Linked DNA regions of Alligator mississippiensis. The protein of the gene in region 1 purifies or fractionates together with the protein of each later gene. This does not show direct contact. Links are inferred from orthologs where the notes say so. Each region holds a gene or a part of one and is shown in the gene's direction. Other genes may lie near its edges. The genes, in order: PTPN5, ATP5PO and mitogen-activated protein kinase 1.

What was found.
Region 2: the proteins of PTPN5 (region 1) and ATP5PO purify together in Homo sapiens (affinity purification with mass spectrometry; 3 studies listed by BioGRID and IntAct, with this or other methods). This does not show direct contact. The link is inferred for Alligator mississippiensis from reciprocal best matches to the Homo sapiens genes PTPN5 and ATP5PO.
Region 3: the proteins of PTPN5 (region 1) and mitogen-activated protein kinase 1 purify together in Homo sapiens (affinity purification with mass spectrometry; 4 studies listed by BioGRID and IntAct, with this or other methods). This does not show direct contact. The link is inferred for Alligator mississippiensis from reciprocal best matches to the Homo sapiens genes PTPN5 and MAPK3.

Annotation. Positions count from the first base shown.
Region 1 is NC_081825.1:190,624,647-190,632,695, forward strand, and holds the start of PTPN5 (tyrosine-protein phosphatase non-receptor type 5), read left to right. Parts: upstream 1-4,985; 5' UTR 4,986-5,091; intron 5,092-5,348; exon of another isoform or gene 5,349-5,390; intron 5,391-5,814; exon of another isoform or gene 5,815-5,960; intron 5,961-6,210; exon of another isoform or gene 6,211-6,323; intron 6,324-6,927; exon of another isoform or gene 6,928-7,105; intron 7,106-8,049. UniProt on the Homo sapiens protein: May regulate the activity of several effector molecules involved in synaptic plasticity and neuronal cell survival, including MAPKs, Src family kinases and NMDA receptors.
Region 2 is NC_081824.1:292,565,356-292,573,027, reverse strand, and holds the start of ATP5PO (ATP synthase subunit O, mitochondrial), read left to right. Parts: upstream 1-4,629; 5' UTR 4,630-4,696; coding exon 4,697-4,726; intron 4,727-4,849; coding exon 4,850-4,900; intron 4,901-7,672. UniProt on the Homo sapiens protein: Subunit OSCP, of the mitochondrial membrane ATP synthase complex (F(1)F(0) ATP synthase or Complex V) that produces ATP from ADP in the presence of a proton gradient across the membrane which is generated by electron transport complexes of the respiratory chain.
Region 3 is NC_081830.1:836,366-844,395, forward strand, and holds the start of mitogen-activated protein kinase 1, read left to right. Parts: upstream 1-4,982; 5' UTR 4,983-4,997; coding exon 4,998-5,371; intron 5,372-5,549; exon of another isoform or gene 5,550-5,664; coding exon of another isoform or gene 5,665-5,765; intron 5,766-6,123; coding exon 6,124-6,306; intron 6,307-6,798; coding exon 6,799-6,988; intron 6,989-7,733; coding exon 7,734-7,850; intron 7,851-8,030. Other genes in the region: structure-specific endonuclease subunit SLX1, read right to left, coding at 1,529-1,609, 1,698-1,785, 1,860-1,990, 2,118-2,435, 2,649-2,700, 3,335-3,510; bolA-like protein 2, read left to right, coding at 4,123-4,188, 4,296-4,393, 4,472-4,589.

The DNA of each region.
Region 1 (8,049 bases):
ACACAGAGAGTACCCACAGGGGCTTCTGTTGTACCAGCAGGCTTGTCTTGACTGTGAAAGAAAAAGCTGAGTATTTTATGTCAAGCTCAACCCAAGCCCCTGTTCCTCTGACAGAATATTGACTGAAAGAAGCAGGTTCTTGGGACCTTACATCCTCCACAGCAAGTGGGCAATAGCTGGGGCAGTTCTCGATCAGCTCCTCCTCAACTGATTGCTCCAACTATTAGAGTGTTAAAGGGACCTGAAGACCTAGATCCAACTCCCTGCTTCACCACAAACTCCCTCTATGCTCTTAAGGAAGTCAATTAAGCAGTAAGCAGGGTGTGACTGGGCCACCATCCCCAGTCACCACCCTTAGAGGGATGCAAAAATAGCATCAGCCACCACTACTCTCTGAGCTGCTGCACCACTGCCAGCAGCCCAGCTGCAGTCACCGCTTCATGTAGTGCCACCACCAAGAGTACAGAACTGCCCACTTACACCTCTGCCTTTAAGTCTCTGTGGGCACGTCTACACATTCATTAATGTGCTTTAGACACTACGCATTTAAAGTACTAACTAAATGCACAGTACCTAGAGTTACTCCACAGTAGCACCAGCACACGGTTATTTAGTGATGCTTACTGTGCATTAGCTTAATAAAACTGTGCAGTAGGCTATTAACATGGTTTTTGCTGTGACATGCTACTGCGCAGTGTTATTAAGCTAATGCACAGTAAGTGCCTCGTGTAGATGCGCCCACTACCTCTATTCCCTTTCAGCAGACTATGAATAATACTACCCTGCCCCCAAGGAATGTTGTGAGGATAAATACTATTTTAAAAAAGTGATTTCTCAGATATTACAGTAATGTCAGGCATGTACTGTAAATATCTTGGACTAGTCAGTGCATAATGGTCCTCCACAATCCTCTGACCTGCTTCTCGCCATTCACAGAATGTCTTTATGATTGAAACTGAGAAGGGAACTGTGTAGAGCGGCTTACTGAACCTCTGCCCCAGTGATTCCCACAGAAGGAAATCTACCTGTGAGCTGGCATAAAGGGACCAGGTTGTGGCCCCCAGCTTGGCCCAGTATTTCTTTGTACACTGTCTCCCCTTTAGAACAGTGGTCTCCAAACTTTTTAACTAGGAGCTCACCTGTGGCATTTAAAAGCAACCCAAGATCTACTGTGCACCACCACCACCACCCCGTTCCCTCTCCCCGCCCCCCCCAACCCAGCAGGTAAGTCCGGGGGGGGGGGGGGGGGCAGATTAAGGCAGAGGGAGAAAAAATTATTTGGGGGTGCGCCTCCCCAGCAGGTAAAGGAAGGCACCAGGGCCTCACTCAACTTATCCCTGCTCCTGCCTCTGTGGCCCTGTCCCTCACCGTGGGAGTCCTTGCCTCCCCCATGGACTGACCTGCTGGGCTGCGGTGCACTGTGTGCATGCACACGGGCACTCGGTCCCCCACCCCAGCCTTGGATCGATTCCAAGAGGCTCCGAGATCTACCGCAAGAGGCTCTGAGATCTACCAGTAGATCAAGATCCATTGGTTGGTGACCATTACTTTAAAAGGACCCCCTCACCTTAGGGGGATTCAAAGTTTTCATGTCACGTTAAATATGGAACAATATAGGAGTTCCTCTAGGAGGAACAGTTTGCAAAGACCTCAATATTCTAATCAGGAAGCAATTAGGGTTGTACATTAAACATTTCTATCATCTGTCCCTCTCAAGAATGGTATTAGAGTTGGGACATTACTGGGATAGTCCACTAGTAACCTTTGAGTCCAGTTTTATTCCTACATGAAACCCTGACTCACCCTGCATAGATACTGATTAGCAATTCACTCTTCTTTGGGAAAATCATTAGGATTATACTCGTTGCCAAAATCCTCCGTCACAGTCATTCACTGACTCAGAACAAGGTTTACAACAGCTGGCAGTGATATGTACTGTTGGTGAGTCATGTTGAACTGTTAGCATGAACATAAGAACCTGTGAAAAGCCAGACAAATGCCAGATGACTTACACTGCCCCATCTGTGTTAAGGAGATGCATTTGTTATATTACAGTAAACGGCTTGGTCAATGTTTTATTACGTGCTCTGATTTTCAGGAATGCAAAACTTAAAATAATAATAATAATTAATAAAAAATTACTAAAGCGTGTTGTATCATATGGATCCTGAAAAGCTTTATAAACTAAGGGTCAGAATTCTACCTAGTGCAAATAATCTGGCAAATATTAGTGGAAGGACACTGATTTACATCTGCTGAGAATCCGGCTCTACGGGACTATGGGGAGAAATCCACTTACCTACTATCGATTGGAGCTACCTCTGGGGTGCAATATGTAAGCTATCCAACAACACAAAACAACATTAAACAGGAGTTTAGAAAAGAAAAATGCCATAATCAGTTTAACCTGTAGGATACATTTAGATAAATGACGCTACTATTCTTTTTTTTTCACTGAAGGATTTCAAATCAATATTCTTAATAAATAAAAACACTAACACAAGTGCTTTACAAATATTAAATAAACCTCCTGAGCCAGAATCTCAGTTGGTGTCAATTTGCATAGCTCCATTAACTATATTGGTCCTCACCAGCTGAAGATACAGCCCCCACAACATCCGTGTAAGTGAGGTAAGTATAAGTGATTCACAGATTCATAGGTTGTAAGGCTGGAAGGGACCTCGGAAGATCATCAGGTCCAGCCCCCTGCACTAAGCAGGAAAGACAACTGGGGGCTGGACATGACAAAATGCCACATCATATCCCAAAAGGAATCAAAACTTGTGGAAGAGGTGATACCTTTTATAAGACCAACTAGATATTTGCAAACAAATTATTTTTTTTATTTGCAAGCTTTTGGGCGCACACACCCTTCTTCAGGCATAGGAGAGAACAGAGTTTGTAAAAATTCTCCTAGTTGGAAATGAAAATTCATATTTCACAGGAGAGCTGAAGATGTAGTCAAATTTCCTGTTGGGAATTGTTCATTTTGTCCGGGTTTTTTTGCAAAAATCTAGTTGGCCTAATAAAAGATATCACCTCTACGATGAATTCAGATTCTTTTTGTCCAAGTTAGGCACAGAGAAAGGTTGAAAAAGTCTTTTTACCTCAAAGTTGTCTGGTGGCCAGCAGGATGTAGAAGCATATTTCTTTCTGGCTTTGATGTTTCATATTTCACAGAAGAGTGGAAAGGTGGAAAGCTCTTCTGGAAGCTCTGAATATTAAACTGTGTGAGTAAAATGTGTCTTTAAGAAGGTATGGCATATCCTTTATGCTGAACAAAATGGCTCACCCAGGAGCACAGAGCAAATAAAGGGTAAAAGTGGGGAAGCACCCAGCTTTGAAGATCCTTGATCTAGCCCTGGACAAAAGTTCCAGACCATGTGTTATGTCCCAGGTCCTCAACTGAAATAAAATAGTTTGGCTCTGTTGGCTTCAATGGAACTAAACAGATTTACACCAGCTGAGGAGCTGGCCCTTTTTTGTCTAGTGTAATGTCTTAGACTTGGATCCTGCAGTAGGTACCACACTGGTGGGCAGATGAAGCTGGTGCAGAGCCATCAATGTGGCTCATGACATAGCAATCTGTCTGAGAGCTCTCACTTGCACAATGGGAGCCTTAATGTGTGTTTGTCTCTGCAATGTGTGGGTGGATGGGTGTGTGTGAAGGGGGTGAGAGAGGCACCTGTCAGACTGTGATCTTTGTGTGTGTGCCGCACCAGTGTCACTTCTGTCTCCTACTCCCCAATATGTCACTCTCTCCCCCTTCACCTGTGTAGGTAACTGTGCTGACAGAAAGCAGGGCTCGGGGGCTGTCGTCTCTGCCTCTCTGGATGCATTTGCTCTAATGGATGCGCCCGCCTGTGTGCAACACTCCTGCGTTGTGTCTGCATGTTACGTGCCTACTTGTCTCCCGTGTGTGTGTGTGTGTGTGTGTGTGTGTGTGTGTGTGTGTGTGTGTGTGTGTGTGTGTGTAGGCAGGACACACCACTGCGGCAGTGCAGGCTGTTGCTGCTGAAGGGAGGAGGATGGTGGGGGGGGAGAGGGAGGGAGCTCCAGATGCTCTTGCTCCCTCAGGGACTGGAGTCTTTTTTCTCGCCTTGGCCCTCCTCTGCTCCTGGCAGCCTGAATATTTCATTCATGCTTTCTCCTTTGCCATGGCTCCCTCTCTCTCTCTCCGATTCAGGGAAAACAGGGGAGGGATGGGGGGGGAGAGAGAGAGAGAGAGAGAGAGAGAAAGTGTGTGTGTGTGTGTTGTGTGTGTGTGTGGGAGGCCTTTGAAAGCCTGCCTGTCAATCAAGCATGAAAGGGAGAAAAAGAGAGAGAGAGAGATGGAGAGAGAGAGAACAGCTTTTACAGGGAGAAGGTGGGCGGCTGTTGCTGCTGCCCGCCTTGCAGCCCTTCCCAGGGGCATCTCTACAGACAGGGGGAGTCAGCCTGGCACGGTCAACCTTTCCTAGGCGGGTCAAGCCCCCCCTGCACCTTCAGCAATGCCAAGTGCGGAGAGGGGGAGTCCCCATACCCATTCCTATGCCTTGCTAGTCCCCCGGCTGAGCTGCCTGTGTCCTGTGGGGGGGAGGCAGGGAGCCTTGCAGGGCGCAAGGGGGGCTCAGCGGGCTGGAGGCAGGGGGGCTCCTTTGTTGTTCAGTGCGGCGGGGTGGAGCAGGAAGGGGGGAGGAGGAGGGGGTTGCACTGGGGGGGCACCGTAGTGGGGCCCTTTCAAGCGTGCAAGGAGGCTGGGAGGGGTTTGGGGCTGGAGCTCCTTGCAGGCTGCAGTGGGGCAGGGGGCTGGCAAGTCCCTCTCTGTGGGGAGGGAACTAGGGAAGTTTTGCATCGTCATGGGCTGGGGGGGGTCACTGCTCACGAGTGCAAGGGGCGGAGGCTGGGGGGGCTCCACGGCGGCGGGGCAGCGCCTCTAGGGGGTGGGGGGCGCCGCAGGGCTGGGGGCTTTGCGGGGCGGGGGACCGTGCGCGTGGCACACGGAGCGGCACACACGCACACGCGCGCCCGGCGGCTCCTGCCCGCGCCCGCCGCTCTCCTGCAGCGCGAGTGAGGCTCTGCCGGGGGCTCCCGCCGCACCTGGGCGAGCAGGTGGGGCCGGCGCCGGGGGGCGGCAGGGAGGCAGGCACGGGGGAAGGGAGACTGCGGCAGCGGAGCAGGGGGCTGAGGCGCCGCGGGGCTCGGGCGCCTGCACCGGGCGGGGGGAGGGGGGGTGTACGGGGAGGGGACAGCAGCCCTTCAGGTCCCCTCCGTGCGCGACTGCAGCCATCCCCTCTCCAGCCGCTGGTGCTGGAGGCGGGGCCGCCCCGGCTCGGCGGGGAAAGGGTGGGCGCTGGGGCTGGGGGAGCCTTTGCTGCGGCCCCGGAGGGCGCCAGCAAGCAGCCCCAGAGGTGGGTCACTGCAAGGGGGTGGGGGTCTGGACACGCACTCACTCGCACACAACTCCTCATGCATCTCTCTGCAAAGATGCCCGCGACCCCCCTTCCCCGTCCTCTCTGTTGCCCTCTCCCCGCAGCGCTGGACCCGGCGAGGTGCAGAGGTTTGGGGACATGGGGGGAGGGAGATGTGTTACATTCACATTAGCAAGCCCGGGGGGGTAAATGCCCCGCCCCGGCCCGGCCCGGCCCGCCCCGCGGGAGTTGGTCAGGCGGTCCCGTGGGGGGCACAGAGGGCCCTAGGGTTTATTTTGGGGTGCCCCCGTTGCAGACACCGCGGCCCGGCTCGGCTGTGCCGGCCCTGGGCGCCAGTTGGCTCCCTGCTAGATGGCGGCGCTGGCGGGAGGGCGGCGCGGCGCGGCGCGGCGCTGCGCGGTGAGGGGCGCTCGGCTCGGCCGTGGGGAGGCGGGACAGCGGAGCGGCTTGGCGGGCAGCTCTCCAGGGGTCGCCTCGGCTGCCCTAGCCCCCCCTGGGCACGGGCTCCTGTTGCGTCTGGTCCAGGACAGGATCCGCTGCTGAACCCAGGTCTTGCTACTGTTGATCTCGGGGTGGGATTCGCTGCGAGCAGCCGAGGGTCTGGGTCGTGTGCGCTGGCGCCTGTAATCGCTGCTAGATTTCAAAATGTGGCAGCTAGACTAGCTTTTTTTGCCTGGTGACGGTTGTGCGCCCTGGGGGAAGCTTTGGTTGGTTTGGGCTGAGCGTTGAGGTCCACTGTTGCCTCAGTGGGAAGGATGAAGCTTTCAGGTTCATGCCAGGTTTTCATTGTCTTCGGCAGGAGTTGGCAGCCCCCCATGTTGCCCTGTGTAGGGTCTGAACAAAAAACCCGCCCACGGGTCTTCTCACCGTTGCTTGCCAGGAGACCACTACAGAATAGCAGAGTGCGAGGAGGTGTGTTAATACCTTGGGACTAAGCTTTGTAATTACTCACTTGTATTTGTACTTCAGGTCACTGCCATTGAAGCCGGTGGGAGTTTTACCACTGGGTGGGAGTTTTACCACTGGCTTCATTGGGAGGAAAACCTTGATCTTGCAAAGCCATGTCTGTGGGGCTGGTTTCAATAGATCTACAGCAGTGATTCTCGGCCAGGGTGCGGTGAGAGCCTTTTAAGGGTGAGTGAAGGTGCTGTGCAATAGTAACACTGTTCGGTGTGCAGGCACCTACACAAGATAAGCTCAGAGATTTCACTGGGGATCTGTACTGTCAAAAACAGACCTGTTGTGGTCTTTCTGAGTTTGTTTTGTTTTTTGGGGGGGGGTTGTAACAGATTTGCTGTATTATTTTTCCCTGGTCAAAAAAAAAACATACAAAAGCTAAGAGCTGGCATTTTCCTAGGGGTGCCTTAATGCTTAACAAGGGGTGTCTTGAGTCTAAAACAGTTGCGAACCAGTGTTTTACATATGAGTAAAGGTAAGCACTTGCTGAAGTGCATAACTTCGTTTTTCTGAAAATGAAGTGAGATTAACCTTCGGTATTGATCTTTGTTGGTTTCAGCTATTCAAGCTGAGCTTTACATTTTGGCCAGCTTTGCAAATGGGATCTAAACTTTGAAAGCAGCATCTATTGCTCCTTTTATAGGAAGAACTGCGAACTGGATGTCAAGCCTATAAAGCAAGAAAGTTTTAGGAGCCTTGGAACAGCTGCCTGTTCAACCAAAAATCAGAGAACAGAGGTATTCTTCACCTAATTAAATAATATCACTTTCTCTGCCAGAATGTCACCAGCATGCTTGGGTTCCATTTTTCTTATCTTCCCAGCAGAAAGTAGCTTAATTCATTGGGCAAAATTAAAAGAAATAAAAGCAAAGTAGTCTCTACATTTCCTCAGCCCCCTACAACACCAGAGCCAGGGCTCAGAATTTCAGGGGAGGCGTCAGTGTAGGCCCTGGAAGGAAACCATTACTTGCTATTCTGATTTATAACACCGTCTCTCAAAGGATCAAAATAAATGCATCCTCTTCAGTCTATTGATTTAAATTACATGTACAGTAAATGCAGTCCTCTGTGAAAATGTAGGCCCTAATTTACCCCCACTCTCTGACTCTTCTGCATAGGTGGGAAGGTGTGAAGCAGACATAAAGCCTCTTTTAAAAAACAAACCACCTCCTCTGGATTCCCTTCCAGTAAGGGAAGCCCTACATGGGGCAGATTTATCTCAGTGGCAGCAAAAACAGGGATAACTGGGTAAATTGCACTGGAGAAGGGAACTTGTTCAGAGGTTTTATACCCCCTGTGATTACAACAGTGCAAAGATTTTTGGTGTAAAACCAGTGAAAGCAGTTCTGGCTATTCTGTAAGCCTTCAAATTACTGGTAACACACCCCTATGGGATGAGGAGGTGGGGGTCAGGGTGTTTTCAAATGTTATGTCAAGTTACTGAAATAGTCCCTGTAGATAGATTGTAATGTTTTACCTTACAATGTTAGGTCATAAGCTATCTGAGAGTTTTATTTCACCCAGGGGAGTTAACAGACCCATTAAGTCAAACAGCATCTTGCATGGAACAGTGGATTAAAAAAGCAACAGTGTAAGGCCACGTGAATACACAGCTACATACTACGCTTGATGACCTAATCCTAGGCCCATTAATTTCACTAAAATAAGATAGAAGCTAGTC
Region 2 (7,672 bases), on another chromosome or scaffold:
TTATCCCACATCATCTGATCTAAATAAGGGTGACCTTCTCACATACAACAGCACAAAACAATTGAGTTGATGAAATGCCTGAAGTCAGCTGAGTTACTCTGGGGTAAATGAGATCAGAATGTGGCCCTGAACCAGCAATGGCACTCACACAGCAAGTAGGCAAAAGATCCAAGAGCTCCATTTTCAAAACACCCTCTGAATGCTATTGTAGTTCTTGCAAGAGAGACAAATTACTAGGAATTTATGTGCACAACTCTTAGAGTATTTTTTTAGTTCTTTCATATTTAGCCAAAAGAGGGGGAACAGAATCTTTATTTTACCAGGCTTAACATGAGATAAGATTCCCCTTTGTTTGCATGTGGGTTCTTCAACTTTACTATAAAAACACGCAACTCAATTCTATCCTAACTTCCCCTAACAGCTATATTTATGCTACTAAAACAAGCCAGGCAAATCCCTGAAATTCATTTCACACTATATTGAACAAATGGACTGTGAAATAGCTGTCTTCAGTTGTTGACATATGTTAATATGTAATGACATAAGGTGCAGGGATTTGCCTGGCTTGTTTTAGCACCCTAAAACTAGACAAAGATCTTCCCTCAACTTCCATGGTTAATAAATAAAGCCCTACTACTAGTATTTGTTTCCCTCTTGTGGTAACAAACAAGCTATAGTGCCACTATATAATGAGAATCTGCTCTGTGTCATATCTAAGGCCACAATTCTGCAAACTGCTCCATGAGGGCAGATCATAGTACCTTAGGAAACAGGATCCATGCAAGTACTGAGAAAGAACCAGCCACACAGAGCAGTTTGCAGGACTTTTACGTTAGCATGACCCAGCACATTTAAACTTTAAAGATAAAAAGTCCTTTCCCCTTTCTTTACTTTTCATTCCATCCAGGAAGAGCACATACCAACCGCTGAAACTTCCTTAGCCTGACGAAGGGTTTTTGAACCCGAAAGCTTGCTTAATAATTATTTTCCAAGTATTTGGGTTGGTCTAATAAAAGATATCAGATTCACCGAAGGAACCTTGTGTGCCTATGTCCTTAGACCAACACGGCTACAACCTACACCCCTGTTCCCCTTTGGAGTGCATTTTTCTCTTGTGAAAAGGCCTCGGTTACTAACAGTGTAGCACAGCAAGCTTACCTTGCCAATATGTCTCATCCCTGACCTGAAATAACCACTTCAGCAGCTCAAGGGACAGTTCACTTTCTGTGTACATTTAATCGATGACCTCTATGCTGAGCCTGCCAACTTCAAGGGTATTTATGCCAGACACCTGTCTGCTAGAAAGAGAGACCCATACCATTAATTAGCTGCACATTACCACTCAGGCCTCCAAGAGGAGCTTTTGAAAAATAGGTTTATCACCTTCTTTCTAGCTGCAACCTTAGTGATTTCAAAGAGCCCAACTTGACTCCTTTTTCTGCCCCCATGTTAAAACTCAGCTCATTTCTATGGAATTATACCTTGTGTAGCAGAAAGCCCCCTTTTCCTCTTGCCTGCTTTTGCTCTCCCCTCTTTGGATATGTTTCTCTTTTTCTACCTTTTCTTCCTTCCTCTCTCTTTCACTTTAAGATAAGGAATTGTATTTTAAAATTTGTATGTGTGCATTTTGTATCTCCCCTTGTAGTTTGGTATTTTTATCTATTTGTGTGCCATGGCACTTGTAGCTTATATTTTATACTCCTCACCTTTCAACTTTCAACTAAATGTGTTTTAGTAAGTTATACATTGTAACATTGTTAACAAAGGCAGGAATCAAACTGTCCTTCCCTGTATCAGGCTGGCCTCTGAAAGAGTGAGTGAATCAGTGATTGAATGTGTAACATGGAAGCAGGCAGCAATTATCACCTGGAAGCTGAACTCAATAGAAGACAGTGTAACAACCGGGAAATCTCTATACCTCACTGATCAAGGGCTAGAAGCCCTGGCCTGACTTAATCAACACCAGAGACCAACTTTTGGGCTGAATATCTCCAGATCGACCACTCCCAGATCCCTATTCTAAATTCATCAATGGACTCCCAAACCTGCACATACATGCGGACGCCTGGGGCTGACAGATGCTGTTCAGTAATCACCGAGGGGGGGAAGTCCCACGAGGGTCAATGACCCCTGGATTGGGCAAACCAGAAAACTGGGGAGTCACCAAAGTCTGCCAAGGACAGATAAAAGGCAGTGAAAAGTGACCCTCAGCGGTGCCCTCTTGATCTCCAACTCGACCAGACCTGTCCAGCCAGAAGGACCAGCCAGCGACCCCCTTCTGGAAGATAACACCACACTGAAAGAAGCCTCAACGACAGACTCCAGCGCTTGTAGGATAGGTATACCTGACTCTGTAGCCTGCTACTGCGTGCGTGCGTGCGTGCGTGCGTGGACCAGCCCCAAGGTTTATGATTACAGTGTTTCAATCCACCTAATAAACTAGAATTTTAAGGATCCCGAGTTGGATATTTGTAACTGTTCAACACTTGTTTACAACAGCATATGTGAAAAGAGAACAACAATAATACCCAATATTTATACAGCATGGCACTTTTCACCACCAGATGTTAAAGCTCTTAACAAAGGAGGTCTGAATCATTAGCCCCATTTTACAAATGCAGAACCTGGGGCACAAAGAGACAAAGGGACAACTTGTTTAAGGAAATGCAGTAGGCTTCTAGCAGCTGGGAGAAGAACTCAGGTGTTCTGAGTCTCCATGTGGTGTCCCTTAGAATCAGATCTCCAATGTCCACCTTCAAACTAGCAAAGTTTAACTCCCAGTACAAATTACCTCCCAGCTCCCCTAATAGCCATGTTCATTAAAATACAAGACAGTTGTTCTAATTAGAATTTTTGCACAACTCAAATAGCCAAACATTTGTATGAAAATAACTAAATTTGTATAACATCACACCTATGGATAATTCCTCGCACTTATTATTGCATATAAAAACACATCTATACAAACAAAAAAATATTTCATCCCCGTTTCCCCTTAAATTACTGTTTCCCCTTAAATTACTCTAAAGGACTTTAATATGTTAACTTAAAAGAATCAAAACTGTTATGGGTATTTTGCTAATAAAGTTAGAAATCCCTAACTGTATGTTGTTATTTTCTTTTGCAACAAACTGGTACAATAACATGAATTCGAATTTTACAAGCGCTCTAGTAATATTATTCCTGTAATATAGTAACTGCATTTACTACATTAATTTAGAAGAGGAAACCCCAAATCCTCCCCTGCAAAACAACATTTAGGTATGAGTGCACACTTCCAGCAAACCAACCTTGGGAAAATTTGCAGAAGACTATTCTGGTATCACAGTTTGAAAATTAATCAGCTGCAGAAGTTAAAATTGTTGTTCCTGGATTCCCCTGTTAATTTTCAGGGTTTTATAACTCTATTTTCCTGGTTTAAAAAAACATTCTTTCTCCTGCTGATAAATGAAAAACAGACTAAGGGAAAATATGAAAGACCCTAACAACTAGCTCTAAGGGAGTGGACAATTATACCTGTCAATGAGGGGCACATATTTACCCCACACTATTCTTGAGGGACACTCCAGATTCCCTTCCTGCCCCATCTGCTGGTCTGCTTCCTACTCCCTGTTCCATGCTCAATCTCCTGCTTTCTGCCCTGTGCTGTGCTCCCTACCTGATCTCCTGCTCTTCATGCTCCTGCCCTACCTGCTGCACTTCAATTGAGCCCAACGCTTGCCAGATCTTATAAGAAGCGCACCTAGCTAGCTACTGGGTTTTTGGTTATAGCCATCATTGATCTAAGGACATAGACAGGCAACGTTCTTTGAGTAGATGGGATATCTTTTATTAGACCAACTGAGCCTAGCTAGCCAAGCATTTCAGGGCAACAGTCATGCGAGTTTAGCTACACAGGCCATGAGTTCAGGACAACTGATTTCCTAGTCCATTAGCAGATCTCTCATAGCATCATTTTTTCAAGAACAACGGCCCTCACCCACCGCCTTTCCAAACCAAAGTAACTCTTTGTTAGGAAGCTCTTGGTCTAAAGACCCGGTCACATCTTCCAACTCAAGCTGAAAACCAGCTAGAGAGCTCTCACAGCTCTTAACTTTGTAACTAGCTGGTTGGCTCTTTCTTATAGTAGAACAGACATTTTTATGGTGGCCTGTCTACATGCATTGCTTGATTCGCCAATTAACTGTGTGATTGTCCCTTTGCACCTGCCGCCTGTCTACATTTATTGTGCGATTCACAGTGAAATGGCACAAGGTACGTAACGAGTGGCAGGACCCTGACTCCTTACAAAGTAACTGAAACAACAGCCTTATGTTGACGTTGGTGGCCTCGAACCTAGCGCCCCGCCTTCCCCCTCAGCAGGGGGCCGCGTAGTGCTCGCGTGGGGACATACCCTGGCCCTGAGGGACGTCGCTATCCCACCCCCTAGCATCGCACGGCCGCTCCTGCCCGGACAACGACCCAGACGCTGAAGCAACAGCGGCCCCTGGCGGTCCCGAGCAGTCCAGCAGCCAGGCTGACTTGCGTGCGGCAGTTTCCGGCCCGCCAGGGCGAAGAGCCTGCGCAGAGAACTACAAGCCGCGACCCTGAGGACTCGCCTCCCCAGCCTGCCCCGCGGCGCGCCTGTATCAACTGCGCATGCGTCCCGGGCACCGGCCACAGGAGGCTTCGCTGTGACCTCCGGCAGCAGCAGAAGATGGCGGCTGCCGCCAGGCTCTCTCACAAGGTGACAGGCACCCCACCTTCCCTGCTGGGCCTGTCTCTTCAGTCCGGCCCGGCTCCTCCTCGGCTGGCCCTGGGCAACCCCGTGCTTCTAACCTGTCTGACTGCTTTTCCCTTCCCCCCTCAGGTCCGCTTCTTCAGCACCGGCCTCGTCCGCCCCGCCACCCATCTCGTCAAGGTAAGCCGTTGGGGTTGGGAGGGTGAAGGAAGTGCTGTGGGGGCGCCCCGGGGAGGGGGACCCCCACGGGCCGGCGGTGCTGCGCATGCGCGGGGCCACCCCTGCGGGGGAGGGGACCCCCACGGCTTCGCAGTGCTGCGTATGTTGGTGGCCCCTGCCCTAGCCCTTAAGGGGCGCCATCGGGCTTGGGCCCTTGGCGGGGGGCAGACCAGCCTTGCCTGTGGCTGCTCCCTTGGGTGCAGGGAGATGGGAGCAGCTGGGCCCTATGGGAGCCTGCCAGTGGGTTGGCAACCTCTGGCGGGGGTGATGCAGGCAGAGCTGTACCCTGTCTTGTTTTCTCAGCTTCACTGGTTCCCTCCTCCAACACTTTCCGCCACTGCCGTGGCAGTGGTGTGATTTGAACTAAAACATGTTTCATGCACTTAAGTTCAAAGCCCACTGCCACCACTTTCTTAGTGTAGATGAATGTGACAAATGGGTGCTCTTAATAAGCATGGGTCGCTAATTAAAAGAACCTAGCACCACATTGGAAGCATGTGTAAAAATGTCCTGGGTGTTGGCTACAGCCAAGGCTGAGGACTGGCTGGGGTCTTCCAATGCTCCTGCTGGAAGCAAAGCCAGAGGTTCCCAGCTAGGGGGGTTTGCCCCTCTGCTCAGGGACAAACTGATCACCAGGTTTGGGGTAAGGAAGGAATTTTACCCCGTGGTCAGCTTGGTACGGACTGAGGGGTACGGGTCAGGGGTTGCTTTCCTCTAGCAGGACACAGTCTCTGCCCAGGACCTCCTGAAAATATTGCCAACATTTCATAGAAGCAGGATGCTGGCTGCCATGGCTCCTTTGCTTTACCTGCGGCAGGTTAGGGTGTTAGATCTGTGTTGTGTCAGGGTTGACAACAGTATACGTAGAGTGTAGATGAAGGATGGTGCAGGAAAGTTTGGCTAGGGTTGGGGGGTTGGACTAAATGACCTCTGGAGCCCCTTGTCCAGCCTGGCTTTTTTAGGATGCTGAAAAGTCCTACCCTACTCCCCTCCCCTATGGCTCTAACTAGATGCTAGCTCAACAGCTCTCAACTGGGGGTGCAGCACTTACTTCAGAGGGTTATTGGAAGGGGACACGGAGGGTAGAAAGATGGAGAACCACTGAGCTCAACTGTGAGGCATGGCATGTTTCCTAGAGTGCACTGGAGTGGGATGACAATCAAGGTGCCCTTTGACCACTTCAGACCAGGTTGTTTTCACCAGCCCCTCTAATTGCAGGTCCCCAGAAAAACATGCTGATTGCAGATTACCTTTGTTCTGCTAGTGCTTGGTTCTTAGTTTTCTGCCTCCAGCCAGCTAAATGCAGAGGTGTCTCAGCTGCCCTAAGATTTCCCACTCAGTGTGACACAGACATGAGGAAGCCATAGTATGTGCACTGAGAAACGGGTCCTGTCTGGGAGTAGGACAGGCTTCCAGCGGCTCGTGGCCTCTGCCCCACTGCAGACCAATCCTGAAGGACATGGAAAGACCTTGCTGTGGGGCTGTTCTGAAATTTCCAACATCAATGCTGATAAACACGTTATTTATAACCGTAAAAGTACAATATGGACTTAAACTTACTGCTTTTTATTTCATACTGGGGAGGCACCACAAGTTGGTTTTCCAAAAATTATAATTAATGTTCTGTTAGATCTTATGTGAATTTCCTGTTTGAATCTTAGGGCTGGAGCTGCATTTTCAGAGATTACTTCTAGTCAGAACGATTGTACCCCCTGATGCAGGAGGTACATAGTCCCACTAGGGGGAATGCCTTGCTAGACCTGGTATTGGCAACGGGGGATGACATGGTAGGGGACCTACAGATCGATGGTCACCTGTGGGACAGTGATCACCAAATAATAGAATTCATCATAAGATGTCAAGTGGGTAAGGTAACTAGTAGGGTGGAAGTGCTAGACTTTAGGAAAGCTGATTTCAATTAACTCAGGCGATTAGTCAAGGACGCACTGCAGAGTAGGAGTTTTGAAGGGATGGGAGCCCAGGAAGGGTGGCTGTGCCTTAAGGAAATGATCCTTCGGGCACAGAGGGAGACGATCCCAATGCGAGGAAAAAGAGGGAAAGGGGCCAGAAAGCTTCCCTGGCTGACCAGAGAAATCCAGAGCAGCCTACGGGCTAAAAGGGGAACATATAAAAAGTGGAAACAGGGAGAGATTACCAAAGAGGAGTATACCTCCTCTGCTCGCGCTTGTAGGGAGGCAGTTAGATGGGCCAAAGCTACCATGGAGCTGAGGGTGGCATCCCAAGTTAAGGATAACAAGAAATTGTTTTTCAGCTATATAGAGAGTAAAAGGAAGGCCCAGGGAGGAATAGGACCCCTACTAAATGGGCAGAAGCAATTGGTGACGAACAGGGGGGACAAGGCTGAACTCCTCGATGAGTTCTTTGCCTCTGTGTTCCTAAGTGAGGGGCAAGACGAGTCTCTCACTGGGATGGTAGAGAGGCGGCAGCAGGGTGCCAGACTACCGTGCGTAGACCCTGAGATGGTGCAGAGGCACTTGGAGGAACTGGACGCGTTCAAGTCAGCAGGCTCGGATGAGCTCCATCCGAAGGTACTAAAGGCACTGGCTGACGTCGTTGCGCAGCCACTGGTGGGAATATTTGAACACTCATGGCACACGGGCCAGGTCCCGGAGGACTGGAAAAGGGCCAATGTGGTCCCCATCTTCAAGAAGGGGAGGAAGGAGGACCCAGGCAACTATAGGCCAGTCAGTCTCACCTCCACCTTGGCAAAGT
Region 3 (8,030 bases), on another chromosome or scaffold:
GGCAAGAACCTGGCTATAGGGTGCAGGTCTGAACTCATTAGCAGCCAGGTCTTCATTGCATGTCTTGAATTACTAATTAAGCTAGCGCCCATGGTTAATTAATTACCAATCCATGGCATTTTGGTTCCAAAAGCCCTGGGGGGTCAATATGGGTGGGGGCTGAAAGGGGAGTTGGGAGATACTTAACACCCTGATTCTAATTAATGTATTTAATTACTAATGAATCACCTATTTTAATAACCAATGGCCTTTAGCTTCCCTTATGAATGAGCTGCAGGGAGCAGAAAGCCCTGGGGGTCAATATGGGGAGGGGGGCGGGGATCTTGGGAGATGATTAACAGCCTGTTCCTAATTCATTTAATGTATTTAGTCACTGATTAATCACTAATTAACCAATTGATGGCCTTTAGCTTCCCTTATCCCAGAACTACTCCAGGGAGAAGCCCCAGGGGCCAATACAGGGGGCAGGAGGGACTGACTGGGGGGTAATTAAGACCCTCTCCCTAATTAATTGCTAATTAGTCAGTGATTAGCAGGGGGGAGGTTCATGGATTGTGCCTCAGTTTCCCTTCTGGATGGGCCATATGGAGGGAGGGGGAGGGGGACCTGAGGCAATTAACTGCTTGATAATTAATCGTTTGTGAAACCCCTAGTTAATTAACCTGTGCCTAATCAGTTAACCTCTTCATTCCCTGTAGTTTCCCTTACCCACCAGCTACATAATTGAATGAGGGGAAATGAAACACTGAGACTTAATGGCTGGCTTGTTATATATCCCTAATCAATTAACCTAAATGACCTGGGATTCATCCCAATTAATTAACCTGTGCTTAATTAGTAACCTCTGGATTGCCTGTAGTTTCCCTTAACGACAAGCTACATCCTTGGGGGAGGAGAAATGAAGCATAGACCAATAAGAGAGGATGAAGGCAGAGCTGACAGTTGATGAACGATCTTTAATTAATTAACCTGGGCTTAATTAGTAACCTGGATTGCCTGTAGTTTCCCTTAAGGACAAGCTACAGCATTGGGGGAGGGGAAATGAAGCATAGACCAATAGGCTGAAAGCGAAGATGAGAAGTGATTAGTGACCTGTAATTAATAAGCTTTCCTCATCAACGGCTTACAGGGAGTTAAATATGCAAATGCAACAACCTACATTTGCATATTTAATTCCCTGTAGCACACTGACGAGGGAAAGTTATTAATTAAGTCTCAGTTCCCTGTCAAGAGGAGGGGAAGGCAGGGCTTCCTGGATCAGGGAAGGCCCCTGATTGGTGGGGTGGGCAGGTGGGGCTGGCTGGTGACGCGCAACCCAGATCTGGCACCTGATTGGTTCTGGAGGGGGCAAGATCTGTGTTCAAGGTAGAGGGTTGAAAAAGGGAAGCTTCGTTTGATTGGTGGTTGGGAGGGGGAGGAGTTTCCGTGTCGCCGCCCCCTCCTGTCCCTGGTGACCACTGGGTGCTTATGGGGGTGGGGCCAGGAGGGCCAGGTCTCTGGAAACCCGCCAGCCATTCATGAGGCCCACTCAGGAGGCTTTGGCAGCTGGCTCCACCCACTCCACCTGAGGCCCCGCCTTTTCAGCCTGCAACTCTTCTGTCCAGTGACCCTGCATTGGGGAAGGGGCAGAGGGGTCAGAGGGCATGGCCCGCGGCGAGGGGTGGGGCTTGGAGATGGGGGGGGGGGTCAGGGCTTACCTGGGAGGAGCAGAGGTCGTCCTCAGGGTTGTCGCGGTAACCCAGGTGGGAGCGAATCAAGTCACCCCAGAGGACGACCGTCTTGCAGCTATCGGGGGAACGTGGGGGTCAGTAGTCGGTGTGGAAACAAGAGCCCGCCCCCCACCCTTCCCCTCCACCTACCAGGGGCAGCGGCCCTCCACCGGCAGGAACTGATGCGGCTCGTCTTGCAGGAAGTAGCGCGCCAGGCAGGGTGGGTGGGCCGCCAGGGGGCAGCCTGATTGGATGCAGCGGAGGGGGGCATCCACCTCGCCCTGTGGGTGGGGGGGAAGCAGAGGGAGCACCCAGGCAGCCAAGCTCCTAGCCCCGCCCCTCCATGACCCCTGGTGTCCGGGCTCCGCCCCTCCTCGGTGGGAGGGAGACCCCGGGTGGCCGGCTTACCTGGAAGTGCCCCTCGCAGAGCTGGCAGGTGACCCCTGGCACGGCCGGAGGGGGCAGGGCTTGGTGGGCCAGGCGGGGCTGGTCAGGGAAGGGCCCATAGGTGATGGGCACGTGGGGGGGCGGGGCCAGGTCAGGGAGCGGGGCCGGGAGGCGGCCAGGGCGGAGCCAGCGCAGGGCCAGGGGCAGGCGGTCCCAGGGGGGGACGCGGAGAAGTTGGGCCAGGACCCCCAGGGCGGCAGCGAGGGGGGCGCCGGGGCGGCGGGCGGGGCCGGGGGGCAGGCGCCGCGACGCCCCAGGGTGCTGCCATGCCCACTCGAACTGCGGAGAGAGAGGGGAAACCGGGGTGAGGACCAGGTGTCCAGGCTCCTAAATCCCTAGGTCCAGCCCCGCCCCCCTCCCAGAGTGCCCAGGCTCCCTGCTCTCACCCCCGCCCACTCCCAAGGACCCCAGGCCTCTGGGCTCCTGAACCCCTTAGGCCTTGTTGCTCCCATCCACTAGGCCCCAGTGCCCTCCAGGGGGCGGGGCACTCACCCGGAGGGCAGCCACATTGGAGGGGAAGCCATGGACGATCAGCACCATCTCCCTGTGGGGGGGGAGCAACGCATACTGGGAATTGCTGCTGCAAAGCATGTTGGGAGCCAGACCCCCAGAGTAAAGCATGCTGGGAAACTGGTGCTGCTACAGACAAGTATAAGTATGTTGGGACACCAGTGCCTCACAGCAAAGCAGGCTGGGAGTCTGGTGGTTGTGCTGCAAAGCATGCTGGGAAGCCAGGCACATAAAGCAAGGCATGTTGGGAGTCTGATCCCTTGCAGCAAAGCATGCTGAGAGCTTTACCTGCCAGGTGGGAGGCTAGGCCCATAAAGCAAAGCATGCTGGGAGCTTAGTCCTCCCTCAAGCAAAAGGTCTAAGCCACTTTCAGCAAAGCATTCTGGGAACCAGGTCCCTTGCAGAAAAGCATGGTGTGAGCCTGGTCCTCTTACAGCAAAGCATGCTGGAAGCTTGGTCCCTCCCAGCAAAGCATACTAGAGGCCTGGCCCTCCTAAAGCAAAGCCTGCTGGGAGTCTAACCCATGTAGAGCAAAGCCTGCTTGGAGGGCAGGCCCATAAAGCAAGGCATGCTGGGAACCAGGTCCCTAGCAGCAAAGCATGCCAGGAGCGTGATTTCCTGAAAACAAGGCATGCTGGGCAGTAGCCCCGCCCCCCACGGTGGCTCACCATGGCCCGCGCCCACTGGTGCGGCGCGCGCCGCCATAGCGCCGCCCCCGGTTGTGCTGCCGCTCCCGGCGCCGCGGCTCCACCGTGAAGCCCACGTAGACGCGGCCCCGCCCCTCCGGGCGCGTGCACAGCAGCAGGTACACGCCGCGGAAGCCCCGCCCTGGGGCTGGTGCCATGGCACCGCCTGCCAGGCAGATGGGGGCGGGGTCAGGGGCGGCCCCTTGGGGGCCTGTTTCCTGCCACCCCCACTCCCACGCGTCTCATCACGCCCCGCTGCCCTTCCTGTGCCAATTTCCCAGCATCCCTTGCTTCTCTAGCTCCCACCATGCCCTGCGCTGCTCTCACCGACTCATGTCCCAGCATCCTCTGCTCCCATCATCCCCTCAGACACCAACTTCCCATCACCCCTTGCTCCAGCCATGCAGCCCACCATGCCCTGCTCCCCCTTCAGCGGCCCTATCGCCCATCATGCCCCGCTTCCTTGCCCACACTCCCATCACCCCTTGCGCCATCCCCAACCGGCACGAACCCCGCTCCCGCCGCCGGCGCGTGCGTCCTGGCCAATCCCCGCCCTCCTTCCTCCTCCCCCGCTCCCTGATTGGCCGCAGGCGCCCGGGGGGGGGCGGGACGGGTCGCTCCGCCCGCCCATTGGCCGAGCCCTCAGGAGAGGCGAGAAAAGAGCGGGGAAAGGCCGCCCTTCGCTGCCACTGGCCGGAAAAGGCGGGAGCTAGAGGCCGGAACCGAGGCGGTAGGCGGAAGTGGGGGCGGGACCATAGGCGGAAGTGGCCATGGCAGCGCTGAGCGCAGAGGCGGTGCGGGAGCGGCTGCAGCGGGAGCTGGAGGCGGAGCACGTGGTGCGTGGGGGGGTGCTTGGGTTCCCGGGGGGCACGGGGCCGGGGACGCCCGGGTTGTTTTGGGGGGGGTGGACGCCTGAGTCTCCTTTGCTCCGCTTCCCGCGCAGGAAGTGGAGGACACGACCCCCGAGCGCTGCTCCACGTCCTTCCGGGTCCTCGTGGTGTCGGGCCGGTTCCGGGGGAAGCCCCTGCTGCAGCGGCACCGGTGAGACACGCCCCCCCCTCCTTCTCCCCCCACCCTCCCGAGAGCCGCGGCGTGCGGGCTGACCCTGCCCCCCCGCAGGCTGGTGAACGAGGCGCTGGCGCAGGAGCTGCCCCACATCCACGCGCTGGAGCAGCGCACGCTGACGCCGGAGCAGTGGGAGCAGCAGCGAGCGGCGCCCGGCACCGCCCGGGAATAAAGAATTATGGGAAACGCGCCTGGGCTCGGCCTCGCATCTGTGGGAGCGCCGGGGGAGGGGCGGGGCCAGTACGGATGAGGGCGTGGGTAGTAAGAAAGGGGGTGGGGCGTTGTGCCGGGGCGGGGCTTGTGGACCCTGGGGGTGGAGCCACTGTCTAGCTTAGGGGCCGGGCGGCAGCAGGCGGGCGAGAAGACCAGTGGGCGGTCTCTTCCGACTAAGGGCAGCGGGGTAGCGCGGCTTCACTCCGGCGCTTTGCGCAGGCGCCGAACGACCTCCTTTTCCTTTCTGGGTACGGAACGCCACGCATGCGTACTAAGCTCAGTGAGGGCAACAGCGGCTGGGCGAGGCTTCCTCCTGTCGCTCTGCGCAGGTGTTGCACCTCTCTGCCCGCCCCTCCTGCCAGTGGGCATGCGCTTTAAGGCAGTAAGGGTAGAGTCGCAGCGTCACTGCAGCGCTCTGCGCAGGCTCTCTTGTTCCCGCGCATGCGGGGTTGAGCACTGTGGGCAGCAGTTCTGCTCTGCAGCTTCACGCTGCCGTTGTGCGCAGGCGCCTCAGGGCAGCCGGGCGGCAGCGGCGCCTGCGCGCTGCGTCCGGGCGGTTCCGGGTGCGGCAGCGGCGATGGCGGCGGCGGCGGCAGCGACAGCCCCGGGCGGGGCTGGGCCGGTGGCGGGACCGGGGGCGCCGAAGCTGGGCGTGGAGTCGGTGAAGGGACAGGCCTTCGACGTGGGGCCGCGCTACACGGAGCTGCAGTATATCGGCGAGGGCGCGTACGGCATGGTGTGGTGAGCTGGTCCTGCGCGGCCGCCGTAGCGAGCCCCCGGCCCGGCCGGACCCCTGCGGGCCACCGTAGTCGGCCCGACTGCGGGCACTGACTCTTCCGCGCCGCCGTACGCGCGGTGGGACCCCGGAAGTGACCCCGACTATCCCCCGTGTGGGCAATGGGACCCCGGAAGTGACCCCTCTAGGTCCCCGTAGGGGCAGTGGGGCCCCGGAAAGATTCCTCTGGGACACCGTAGATTTCCGCCCCTAGGGAGCTAACCCCTGCGAGCCACTGTGCCCCACTGCATTGTGGGCAATGGGCTCCCTTCAGCTCAGCATTACATTTATGGCTCGCCAGGCCACTCTAATCGTCTCTGTTACATTTATGAAGGCCTTTGCCGCTGCCTCCAGGCCACCGTACGCCACTGCATTTCTGCCCCCCCCCCTGCTCCCGGTGCAGCACTCCTCCAGGTTACCCTGGCCCCTTCGTTCCCTCCAGGCTGCTGTTGTACCGTCAGCCCTCTGCCGCAAACCTTGGTTGTCGCAGCCCGTCTCCCCTTACGTTTCCGGTGCCCTGTGCCACCGATCCCTCCTGGGCGGGGAGGGTGGGGGTGTACTCGGGTCAGTGCCATCTCCGCTCCCCCCCATTACATTTATGGCGCCCTCTGCTCCAGGCCCTCCCAAGTTGTTGCGGCCCCATCTCCCCGTACGTTTCTGGTGCCCTCCCAGGCGGGAGCCGTAGCTGAGTCTGTGTCGCTCATGCTCTCCCCCCCAGCTCAGCCTACGACCACGTAACGAAGACCCGGGCGGCCATCAAGAAGATCAGCCCATTCGAGCACCAGACGTACTGCCAGCGCACGCTGCGGGAGATCAAGATCCTGCTGCGCTTCCGCCACGAGAACATCATCGGCATCAACGACATCCTGCGTGCCCCCAGCCTCGACCAGATGCGCGATGTGTATCCGCTGCCCCAGAGCCAGCCGCGTCGCGGGGGGGAGGGGTCCCACCCCAGAGCCAGCCGCAGCGGGGAGGCAGTGCGCTGTTATTGCCAGGCCTGCCCCAGAGCCAGCTGCACCGTGGGGGCGGGGGGGCCCCAGTTTCTCACCCCACAGCCAGCTGCATTATGCGGCAGGGGCGTCTAGTATATCCAGCCCAGAACCAGCTGCATTATGGGGAGTGGGGGCTGTTGTACCCAGCCCCTAGTGTCTCACCCCAGAGCCAGCTGCATTATAGGGGCCCTCTTACAGCTAGTCCCCAAAGTCCCACCCCTGAGCCAGTTGCATGATGGGGCCCCGTTACACCCAGCTCTTGACTTCCTGCCCCAGAGCAGCTGCATTGTGGAGGCTGATGTTACACTCAGCCTCAGCCCCACCCCAGAGCCAGCTGCATTACAGGGACCCGGTTATGCCCAGCCACCCACCCCACCGTGGCCCTTGACCCCCGCACCCAGCTACATCGTACAGGACCTGATGGAGACGGACCTCTACAAGCTGCTCAAGACGCAGCAGCTGAGCAATGACCACGTCTGCTACTTCCTCTACCAGATCCTGCGGGGCCTCAAGTACATCCACTCGGCCAACGTCCTTCACCGTGACCTCAAGCCCAGCAACCTGCTCATCAACACCACGTGCGATCTCAAGGTGCGGTGGCAGGGGGGTCCTGCCGGGCCACTGTAGCCCGTAAAACACTTGTCCGGGGCTGTGTGTCCTCAGGGGACCACCGTACCCGATGTCTCTGTGGAACCCGCAGAGCCGATCTCTGGGTGTGCTGTGGCCTCTCTGGGCCACTGCAGGACACATACAAGGCACTGATTGGGCATCGGTGGCCCCCGCGGGCCACTGTAGGACCCAGCAACCACACCTCTGGGGGTCTGTGTCCCCTTTGGGTCACCATACCCCACAAAATGAGCCCTTCGGGCCTCTGTCCCCCCTCCGGGCCACCGTCGGACCTGTGAAACCCATCTGTTGGGCTAGCGGGTCCCTTCCAGGCTACTGCAGGACTCCCAGTACCCACGTGTGGGGTATATATGTCCCCTCCAAGCCACATGATACCCACCTCTGGGGCCCCAATGCCCCTTTCAGGCCACCGTAGGACCGCCAAAGCCCATGTCTGTGCCCCATAGAGCCCATAAAACCCAGCTATTGGACCCCAAACCCCTGTATGGGGCATATCTGGCCCTTCCAGGCCGCTGTAGAAAAATTAAACCCACCTCTGGGGCCCTAATGTTCCCCCCAGGCCACCATAGGACCCCAGAGACCAAAGTTGGGGCTGTAATGTCCCCTCCAGGCCACCATCGAGCCCCCCAAACCCCTGTATTGGGCATATCTGTTCTCTCCAGGCCACCGTACTTGTGGTGTGATGCCCTCTGTCCTCCCCCACCCCCAGATCTGTGACTTTGGGCTGGCCCGGATCGCTGACCCCGAGCACGACCACACAGGCTTCCTCACCGAGTACGTGGCCACGCGCTGGTACCGCGCCCCTGAGATCATGCTCAATTCCAAGGTGAGGCCCCACACGCCTGGCTTCCCTCGGTGGGGAGGGGGGGCGGTAAAGCGGGACTCGTTCCATTCAGCCGGGCCACCCCTGACTCAGCTGCAGCATCGGGCCTGCCTCAGAGCTGGCTGCAAACCCGTTACGCCCTGGCACCCACCCCAGAGCTGGCCGCAGCTGTGTTACACGCCA